2 linked regions of the Caenorhabditis elegans genome follow. The protein of the gene in region 2 interacts with the protein of the main gene of each other region in a pairwise test. Each region holds a gene or a part of one and is shown on either strand. Other genes may lie near its edges. The genes, in order: dpy-17 and ppm-1.A.

Region 1 (3,564 bases), on a different chromosome or scaffold from region 2:
TTCAATTTTCATAAAAATCAAAATACAAAACTATATTTTTGTGAAACATTTTGTTTTTTGATAATTTTCTAATTTTCTTTAACGAAATCCAATATATAAAAATGAGTCGAAAACAAAGAAACATATTGGAAAGTAATAGGAAATGGAGGTGATGAAGGACATAAGAGATTTTAGAAAATTGAGAGTTGAGCTAATTTAACTTTTGAACGCAAATATTGATATTGAAGAATCACTAAAACAATATTTCAACTGGGTACCAATAAACTCGATAAACTGGCCGAGAAGAGAAAAAGACAAGGCCATTCAGACTCGGCCATCGTTTCCAAACAGCTGTTCGGGACACTCTATACATAAGAGACGGCAGAGAAAGAAACAGTTTCTGTGTGTCTTGTCGGGCATCATTGAAAGAGAGACAAGAAGGATGCTCGCAAGTATTGAATCTGTTTTCATGGGAAAAATTAATGAAAAAACTCAGATAAACTATTTTGATCTATCTTTTGAAATTCTTTTGAAAATAAATATATGTTGAGTTCAACTGGTAGATCAAAATGCTTTTTTTGTAAAATAGGTTCACAATCGTTCAATTAAATAGTAACAAAACATTTTCGTTGGGGAAATAGGGTGTTTTTTTTTTTAATATTTTAGTATTCTATTTCAAAGCTTGGAAGTGTTTTGATTATATTTCTACTATCTGAAAATGTTTGCAATTCAGTTAACTTTTTCTGTTATAGTAAGCCTATTTCTTGAGATTATCTGAACTAGGATAACATGCTTCTCTGAAAACATCCTTCGATTGAAAAAAGTTATGAGAATAAAATAATTTATTTTCTTCAACAACACAAATCACAAATAATAATGTGAAATTAGTTTCTGTATCCTTGGTTTCCAGAGACAGCGGCGTTGGTGTTTCTCTGTGGGCATGGACAATATTGAGCATCTTGTCCTGGCTCTCCTTCCTCTCCTGGACTTCCAGCGGCTCCATTTGGTCCATCATCTCCCTTCTCTCCCTGTGGTCCACGCTCTCCTGGTGGTCCAGCAATTCCAGTTGCTCCACGATCTCCTTGCTCTCCTTGATCTCCAGACTCTCCTGGTGCTCCTGGAGTTCCCTTGGCTCCTGGAAGTCCGATTTGGTGTTCAACATCGGCTCCTGGCTCTCCAGTTGGTCCTTCTTCTCCAGCGGCTCCTGGTGGTCCAATTGGTCCCAAAGATCCGGGCATTCCTGGGGATCCGTCTCTTCCTGGCATAGCGGCTTGTCCACGGGCTCCACGCATTCCACGGGCTCCTGGCTTTCCTTGGGATCCTGGTGGTCCTTGTGGTCCAGCTGGGCAAGTGAAGCATCCATCGTATTGTTGAGTCTGAGCCTTGGCATCATCAGCATCTTCTCCGTCAACTCCTGGAACTCCTGGAATTCCATCTGGTCCATCATGTCCTGGAGTTCCCTTTGGTCCGGCTGGTCCAGCTGGGCATGAGTTTTCGGTGTTGCAATTGCACTTGTCTCCTGGTCCAGCTGTAAATGTTCAATTTATATAAGATCTTTGGACTATTTTTTCTATACTTACCAGATGGGGATCCATCTGGGTTGATTGGGCTTCCTCCTGGATGTCCAGTAACTGATGGTGGAACTCCAATAACTCCTGGAAGAGTTGGGGTGTTCGATGATCCAGTATTTCCTGGGAAGTGTCCTTGTGGGCCTCCTGGGAATCCACCGTGTGGTCCAGATGGTCCGGATGGTCCAGATGGTCCGCTACCGTATCCACCATATCCACCGTATCCTCCGGCTTGACGACGGACACGTCCGAACTTCTGCATATCCATGTAGATTTGATCGGACTCGAGACGCCATGCCTCCATTTCAGTCGTCAACTCGTCCCGGAGCATCGAGACTTGCTGATAGACTTGTGGGACAAGAGAGACGCAGAGAAGCATCGAAACGGCACCGAGGGTGCACGCGGCATATCCCGCGAACACTGACATGATCTGGAAAACATGTTTATTCTAGAATTTGCGCGTAATCTGAATTGCCAAGAAATACGGTATCCGGGATAAAAATTGCAAAAATTCGTATCAGCGAATAAATATCGTCAAAATAAACAAAGATGGAAAATGTTTTGATAAAAGTGTCCATTTCTCCTCTCTCAGGGACCCTTTTATACTCATAAACTCCCTCGCACAAGGACAAAGGACTACTGTATGCGAGACTCCGCCCCCTCATATGACCGATATGATAATCATCTCGAATATTATGCATAATTGTCCGTTATCTCCGATATGATGACCTAGATTTGAGAAGGGGATTTTTCGGGTCGAAGGACCTGTTTTTAATATTCATACAATAGAAGGAGGAAGAAGAATATAAGAAATTTTATAAATTAAAAATAAATAAAAGTCAACTATTGAAATTGAAAGAAATCGGGAAAGAATTGAAGAAAATATTGAAAAAGGAAGTTTTTTGATTCAAAAATATTTAGTTTTCCCAATTCTTAAATTTATGACGGAGGGGGAGCCGGTGGTGGTGGTACACTGAATGTTGCATGATAATCCGTTCCAGTTACAGCTGAAGCTTCACCTTCTGCAGGAGCAGTACCGTAGTATTGATTGTAGTATTGACTGCCATCTTCTTGGTAATATGTCGATGCATCTTGGCTGAAAATAGGTAATTATTTTTGAATAAAAATACAATTCAAACAATTAAAAAAGTGATTTTCCTTACCCTTCATGTCCATAATATGAATCTCCATTTTGCCCATATCCTTGTTGATCGTATCCTTCACCGTAGTGTTGCTGATTATATTCTCCATATCCTTCTTGACTGAAACGTTTATTAAATTTAATTAATTTCATTTTAAAATATTTAATTTTATTACCTTCCATAATAATCCTCTTGTCCTTGATAATGTCCATCGTAACCACGTTCTCCATATGTTTGTGAATCATAATCTTGTCCATATCCACTTGTTCCTTGATACGATCGATCGCTGAAATCGAGATTTTGAAAAATTGAAATTTTTTTGGGGTTTCGAAACGCGAATAGTCACAAATACTTTTTTATGTTTAATTGAAGGCTTCGAGAAGTTTTTGACAAACTGCCTCAAAGTCGTGAAGTGTCGATCGGCATTATTTGAGTCAGTTTTAGAGCAAATTTTCGAAAATTTCAATTGAAAGTAAAGTTACTTTCCGAGATAGCTGAGAAAAAGGGGCTTTCGTATACTTTCTCAATGTGTTTTATATCTCTGCTCATTGCTGAACTCACTAATCATCATATCGATCACGTCGCCCAGATTTTTGCGGAGGACCACCATAATCTCTTCCACCATCACGGCCACCGCCTCGGCCACCACCACCACCTCCTCGCTGGAATTCATCTCCTGAAAAATAAAGCGTTATTTAAAAATATTTAAAAAAAAACATAAGGATTTCGAATTTTCGTGGAATAAAGGTTGAATAAACTTACTTCTTCGTTTTCTTTCTCTTTCCTTAACACCTCCTCTCGCTCCTCTTCTTTGCTTATCACCCATTCGATCCCCTCCAGGTGGCCGATCGATTCCAGGCATTCCAGATCCTGGT
Region 2 (5,854 bases):
GAAAAGTTGGAGATATCAATTCTGAAAGTAAAAACATGGAATTTGCAAGAAAAGTTCCCATTGAAAAGGCTGCGGCTAAAAATAAAAAGTTTGTAGGTCTCATGCTCTCAGGTACAGCAAGTCGAAGTACTGCAGGAGCACAAACAAAACCACTTCCAGCTGAATATCCCATCACGAAACGGCCAACAAATGAGCAAGTCGTTTGGAAACTTAATAAATAAAATTTAACGAAAACGATAAAAATGTGAGATCTAACATGGGAATCGCTGAAATTATTGCTCCGAGAAGAAGTAATCGGGCACATTTATCAAGTTCTTCGTGTAGTTTGACTTCGTGAAAAGAGAGAAAACAAGTTGCAATAAACTTCCCAATTGGAAATGCAGCTGTTACAAGAGAAATCTGCCAAATAGTTTGAAATTCTTTAGGATCAACACTTGACTGTTGAAATATCTGAAGAGAAGACACAAGTGCTAGAATAAGAGCAAGACGCATGTCGATGGAAGGACAATGAAAATAGAGCAATCTGAATGAAGTTGAGTAGTAATATGAAAGAATCTGCATTTGACACATCAATTTTTTCATTCTATCCAATTATCTAGTAAATTATACAAATGATGGAAATGATGAATCCGTAAATAATATTTTGGTGCGATTTAGACAAATATAACAGCGAGAATAGGGGGAAAACGATTGGTTGGGTATATTCTGAATCTTGATGGGAGTGTTTGTAGGTGAATTTGACAGAAAATACTATTTTCGCAAAAGAGCGGATAAAACAATTAACCTTAAATGATTGATGAAGAAATATAGATATAACTTAACAAACAAGTGGAAGATTTTGGTATGATGAGAAAGAAAATTGGCACAAATTTCGTTTTCCAAATGAAACAATGCTAGGATTGATAAAATTATAAAATTTGTTCATTTGGGGAGAGGCTCCGTTTTAAATTTGGACGAGCTGGTTTAATGAATTAGATAAGAGCAACGGGATAAAAGTGAGGAAAGTGTACTTTTTTAAAGTTTGGGAATAGAGTAGAAGCCATGAGAGTTACACATGCTTGATGTCACGTTGTGTCAGAATTTTCTGGGCCAGCGTAGTAACTGTATGTTCAGGAACACGCAAATCAGTTGGCAACAGTCCATTTGCTGTTACTTTATCCAGAATGCTCTTGAGAGTGACCATGTCTTCTTCTTGTTTGAAGTCTTCCGCAGCAACAGCCTCATCGAGGAATTGATTTATAACAGTCTTCACTCGGGACACCCATGCTTCCTCGGCTTCTTTTCGATGAATATTGACTTCTGGTGCAGCAGGGAAACATACAACCACCATCGTCATATTATCCCGACTTCCTTTCACAAGGCATTCGTCGAGAACATCGTCGCACACCTGAATAATTTTGCAATTATTTAAGTTTCTAGACTGGAAATTATTCCTCTACTTCCAATTGGAAATTTTTGTATTTATTCAAAAATTTACGTTTTGTTCTAAAACTGAGAAATTCATGAATCCAAATCATAAAAATATGCCACGTGGAAGGTTTAAAATGGATAAATAAGGGTGGAAAAGATTTTTATTACATTTTCTCACATTTTGAGAAATGTCGTTACAATTCTTTCCAGCAAAAATATTGAAACTTCGAGTCGGTTTTCGAAAAATAAGAGCACTTTTTAAAATGTCACTGTTTCTCGGAGTGAGATACAATTTTTAAAACGGAATTCAAAACAAAACTTTTTAGTTTTGGTAATTAATTTTGGAAAATGATTGCATATCGGTTTGTTCAAGTACAAAAAATACCTCTCTCAAATCAGAGTGAACTGAAAGGCGATCTTTCACAAACTCTGCGAGTTCTTCATTCGTCATCACATCGTAGATTCCGTCACATGCAACAACCATAAACTGATCATTTTCAAGATTTCTCTCTCGGATGTAAACATCTGGTTCAGGAGAGACAAGTTGTTGATCAGCAGGTAGTCGCGGATCATCTTTATACTCGTAGTCTCCGAATGCTCTGCTTACGGCCAGACTTCCATTTATTCTTTGAATCATAACAGAACCACCAGCACCCTCAATTCGTTTTCTCTCCTTTTCCAGATATGGTTTGTGGTCCTCGGTACCGAAAATTTCATTTTTTCCAGCAACAACCGCACGGGAGTCTCCTGAAAACATGATTTATTGAAAGTCTTTATTCAATCTTTTGTGCAACATTTTAATGACATACCGAGATTTCCGATAATGAAATGAGTTGGAGTGACAATGGCACACACTGCTGTACATCCGCTTTTACTCTGAAAATATAAAAATGGAGTGGAAAATGTTATCCGGCAGATTAACTTACGATATCATTGCTCGTTTTACTGATTTCATCAAAACTCAAGAATCCTTTCTTGATTCCCTTTTCGAGCAGTTTTAGTGTACTGTCTGTGAGAACTCCGTTGTTTTCCTCCAAAGTTTTGGTCATCTCACGAAACTCTTCGCTTGAAATGAGGTGTTCAAGAAGCTGCGACGATGCTCGATTGGCGATGTGGTGTCCAGCATGTCCATCGAAAACGGCAAAGAATGACCAATCCTTGTAGGGGGAGGATTGAGACATTATAGCCTGTAACGAAGCAATTTTTCATAGATTAACTCAATTAAAAGTCTAACCTCAGCAATGTGTGAATCTTCCATACATATTCTCCAGCCCTGCATAGACGACATTCCATATCTGATTCCCTAAAAATTGTTTTTAAATTCATATCCGGAAAGAAAAAATATATTTAAAATTTTGAGTCACATATGATTTAACTGCATACCCAGATGGTTCTCAGAAACTCACATTTCCTTCTCCATGGACGTTAGTTTTGTCGGTTTTCGGTTTGTCGAGAAACGCTCCCATCGTCTTCGCGTCGACTTCTACTAAACCCGCACTGGTAACTCGCCAAACACGAAGCTCGTCGCTGCTACTGCTTCGAGGCACCACCGGAATGGGCTGGCACTCTGAAAATAAATTAACTGTGGAGAGAAAGGTTGACGCTGCCGTCGCAACAGCCGAACAGGTTAACGCAGAAACAAAAAAGAAGCGGCCACGAAGCATTATAGCTTTTCGCTTCAAAAAACAAACCGACTCATGCATTGATTACTCGTGACGAATTATGTGGAATTGAAAGAATATACATGGGTATTGGTGAGAAAAACCATGAGAGAAAATAGTGTTCACGGTTGAGATACGGAGATGGAGAGAGCGGGAAAGCAGAGAAACTAACAATTACCGCTGGCAGAACACACGTGAAGTCATCGAATTTCAAGTTAACTTTTTGATAGAAAGACAAACATGACATCATTTTTTTTTGTATATTTTACATTAAAATTCAATGACGGTAAAAAGTAATAAACATGCAAAACAATGACGACCACAATATTATCTTTCAGAGAACACTGATTCATAAAGGTTAAGTTCAAACACAATAAGATTTCGGCACATTATCCAAGACCCATGTATATTCCTAAAACTAAATATCTTTACCTTGGTCCGAGGGAGTTCCGAAAATAGATAGCGAAGCAATCGTGGACGCAGTTTGCCGAATTTCCGGAGCAAATGATTCGTTGAGATTTCCGTGAGTCTTCGGTTCAGCAGAAGACGCGATTTGCAAATCTGCACGTGAAATCGTCATTCTTCTCGGGGGAAAAAATATATCAAAAGACGAAAACAGGACAACGAAGAAGATGACGACGATATATTCAAATACGCACTACTGTTCCTTTCCACCACCGACTTCCCGAGTAGTGGGCGGATCAAATTCAATGGGTTGGTTTTTAGAGTTCGATTTAACGTCTTGCGACTTTTGAATGTACACAATTTATTTCTGGTCTTTATGGACAGCAAGGGTAGCAAATCAACTTTGTACAAAGTTATTGGTCGGAGGACGGAGGAAAGTGATAACTACTCTTCAGAAAAGACCGTGAAACTCGTGCTTTTAAAAAAGAGTGACCTGCCTAGAGAGACTGCTGACGTGCCAGATACATTATTTCTCTCACGTACAGAAATTATCTCATTTCGAAGAAGTTGGAAATCATGAAAAAAAATTGAGGAGAGTAGAAGAAAATCACGTGGATAATATGACGTTAAATTAGATAAAGCTATTTGTGTTCTTTTTCGAGTAAAAAAATGAAAAAAGCAACGAATCAGCGGAGCCACAGGAACTTACATTCTTGTGTAGAAATGAAAAACTTTCTTTCTTATCAGTAAAAATATTACGGCAAAAATGTATTGTATCGCCGATTTCGTTGAGAACTACTGTTCTACTTTTAATTTTTGACAAATAAAAATAGGCTAACTGGGTTAATAAATCATTAGTGAGCTTTTCCAGTTTTTGAAATAATTTAAATTTTGCTAAATCGCCGATTTTGTATTAACGTATAATTTTGATAGCAACAGAGAGTGCGAGGAAAGTTTTTCATAATCGGAAAGTTAAAATGTGAGAAAGAGGTATGACGAAATCAGATTTGTGGTGTCTTCCCGCGCCATCACCGTCTGTTTTCCAAAAAGGAAAAGTGTTTCGAGTGACGGCTCCTTTTATTCCCGTCCTTCTTTCTTTTCTGTCTTTAACGTCGTCGTCCACATGGACAGGGAGAAAAGAGGCAAACTGAGAGAGGAAAACAATCGAAAGATGCGGTCGAATCGAGGGCACACACGCACACTTGGAGAAACGAACGAGTGCAGTAGAAAAATTGAAACGCGTCAATACAAGCGCACAAAAAGCGCGTCAGCAAGCGATAGTTAACGCAATTGGAAAATAGAGGCGATTCAAATGCATTTTTATCGAACGAAATGAAAGCTTTTTTCTCATTAGCTTCCTAAATCTCAATAGGGGTTAATTTAAAAATACATACGTCAGAAAAAATCTTATTTGTGAAACTGTAAAAAATGCATACAAAAAAGGTCACATCGGAATCAGGGGTGTGCGGCAAATGGAAAAAATTGCCGAGCTCGGCAAATCGACAATTGCTGGTTTTTCAAAATTTGCCGAGCTCGGCAAATTCGGCAAATCTCTTTTTTCAATATTTGCCGAGCACGGCAAATTCGGCAAATTTGCCAAGCTCGGCAAATTCGGCAAATTCGGCAAATTTGCCGTGCTTAACAAACTCGGAAAAATTTGATATTTTTTATGTTTTTTGGAGCACCAAAACTACTGAATTCTTAACACACATCTGGTTTCTGAATAAGTTCCGCGTAGTATGTCTGTTTAAGCATCAAAATAGCTCAATTTTGTGTCATTTTACTAAATTTTTGGCTAAAAAATCAATAGTTTTAGTCAAAATTGTACTGTCAAATTTTTGACGTGTGCGGCAAATTTCGAAATTTGCCGAGCTCGGCAAATTCGGCAAATCTACTTTTTTGAAAATTGCCGAGCTCGGCAAATCGGCAATTGCTGGTTTTTTAAAATTTGCCGAACTCGGCAAATCGGTAAATTTGCCGAATTCGGCAAATCGGTAAATTTGCCGAGCTCGGCAAGTCGGCAATTTTCGGCAAATCGGCAAATTTGCCGCACACCCCTGATCGGAATTGAAACGAATCAATTGAAGAAATCTAGAAATAATTCTAGAAGTTTTGGGCGAGATGCAAATGCGCTCCATTCGGAAACGACATACTAGCGGAAGTTTAAATTTTAGTTTTTTGTGCATTTCTCGTACAACGTTAATTTTGCAGTTTTACTGGAAAAATCATTCATCCAATAAATAGTTATTATTTATTACCAATAAATTTCACGGAGTTCTGGCCTCCGGCAATGTTATCAAAGACGTTTTGCATGTTTTTCCTCCGACTTATATCTTCAGAGGGATAAAAAAGCAGCAAAAAAGTATTTTTCATCCGTA

The links.
Region 1: the proteins of ppm-1.A (region 2) and dpy-17 interact in a two-hybrid assay, tested with the Caenorhabditis elegans proteins (one large-scale study listed by BioGRID).

What each region holds. Positions count from the first base shown.
Region 1 is NC_003281.10:5,105,743-5,109,306, reverse strand, and holds dpy-17 (Cuticle collagen dpy-17), read right to left. Parts: upstream 1,978-3,564; 5' UTR 1,975-1,977; coding exon 1,560-1,974; intron 1,508-1,559; coding exon 864-1,507; 3' UTR 816-863; downstream 1-815. Other genes in the region: F54D8.6 (C2H2-type domain-containing protein), read right to left, coding at 2,487-2,643, 2,711-2,809, 2,865-2,975, 3,251-3,365, 3,452-3,564. UniProt on the Caenorhabditis elegans protein: Secreted collagen that forms part of the nematode cuticle, which functions as an exoskeleton and a barrier to protect the worm from its environment.
Region 2 is NC_003283.11:10,532,334-10,538,187, forward strand, and holds ppm-1.A (Protein phosphatase ppm-1.A), read right to left. Parts: upstream 4,056-5,854; 5' UTR 3,652-4,055; coding exon 3,504-3,651; intron 2,978-3,503; coding exon 2,817-2,977; intron 2,714-2,816; coding exon 2,645-2,713; intron 2,598-2,644; coding exon 2,337-2,597; intron 2,287-2,336; coding exon 2,220-2,286; intron 2,158-2,219; coding exon 1,796-2,157; intron 1,388-1,795; coding exon 1,049-1,387; 3' UTR 557-1,048; downstream 1-556. Other genes in the region: txt-10 (MFS transporter), read right to left, coding at 1-209, 257-492. UniProt on the Caenorhabditis elegans protein: Probable phosphatase which regulates axon termination in ALM and PLM neurons, and synaptic branch extension and/or stabilization in PLM neurons.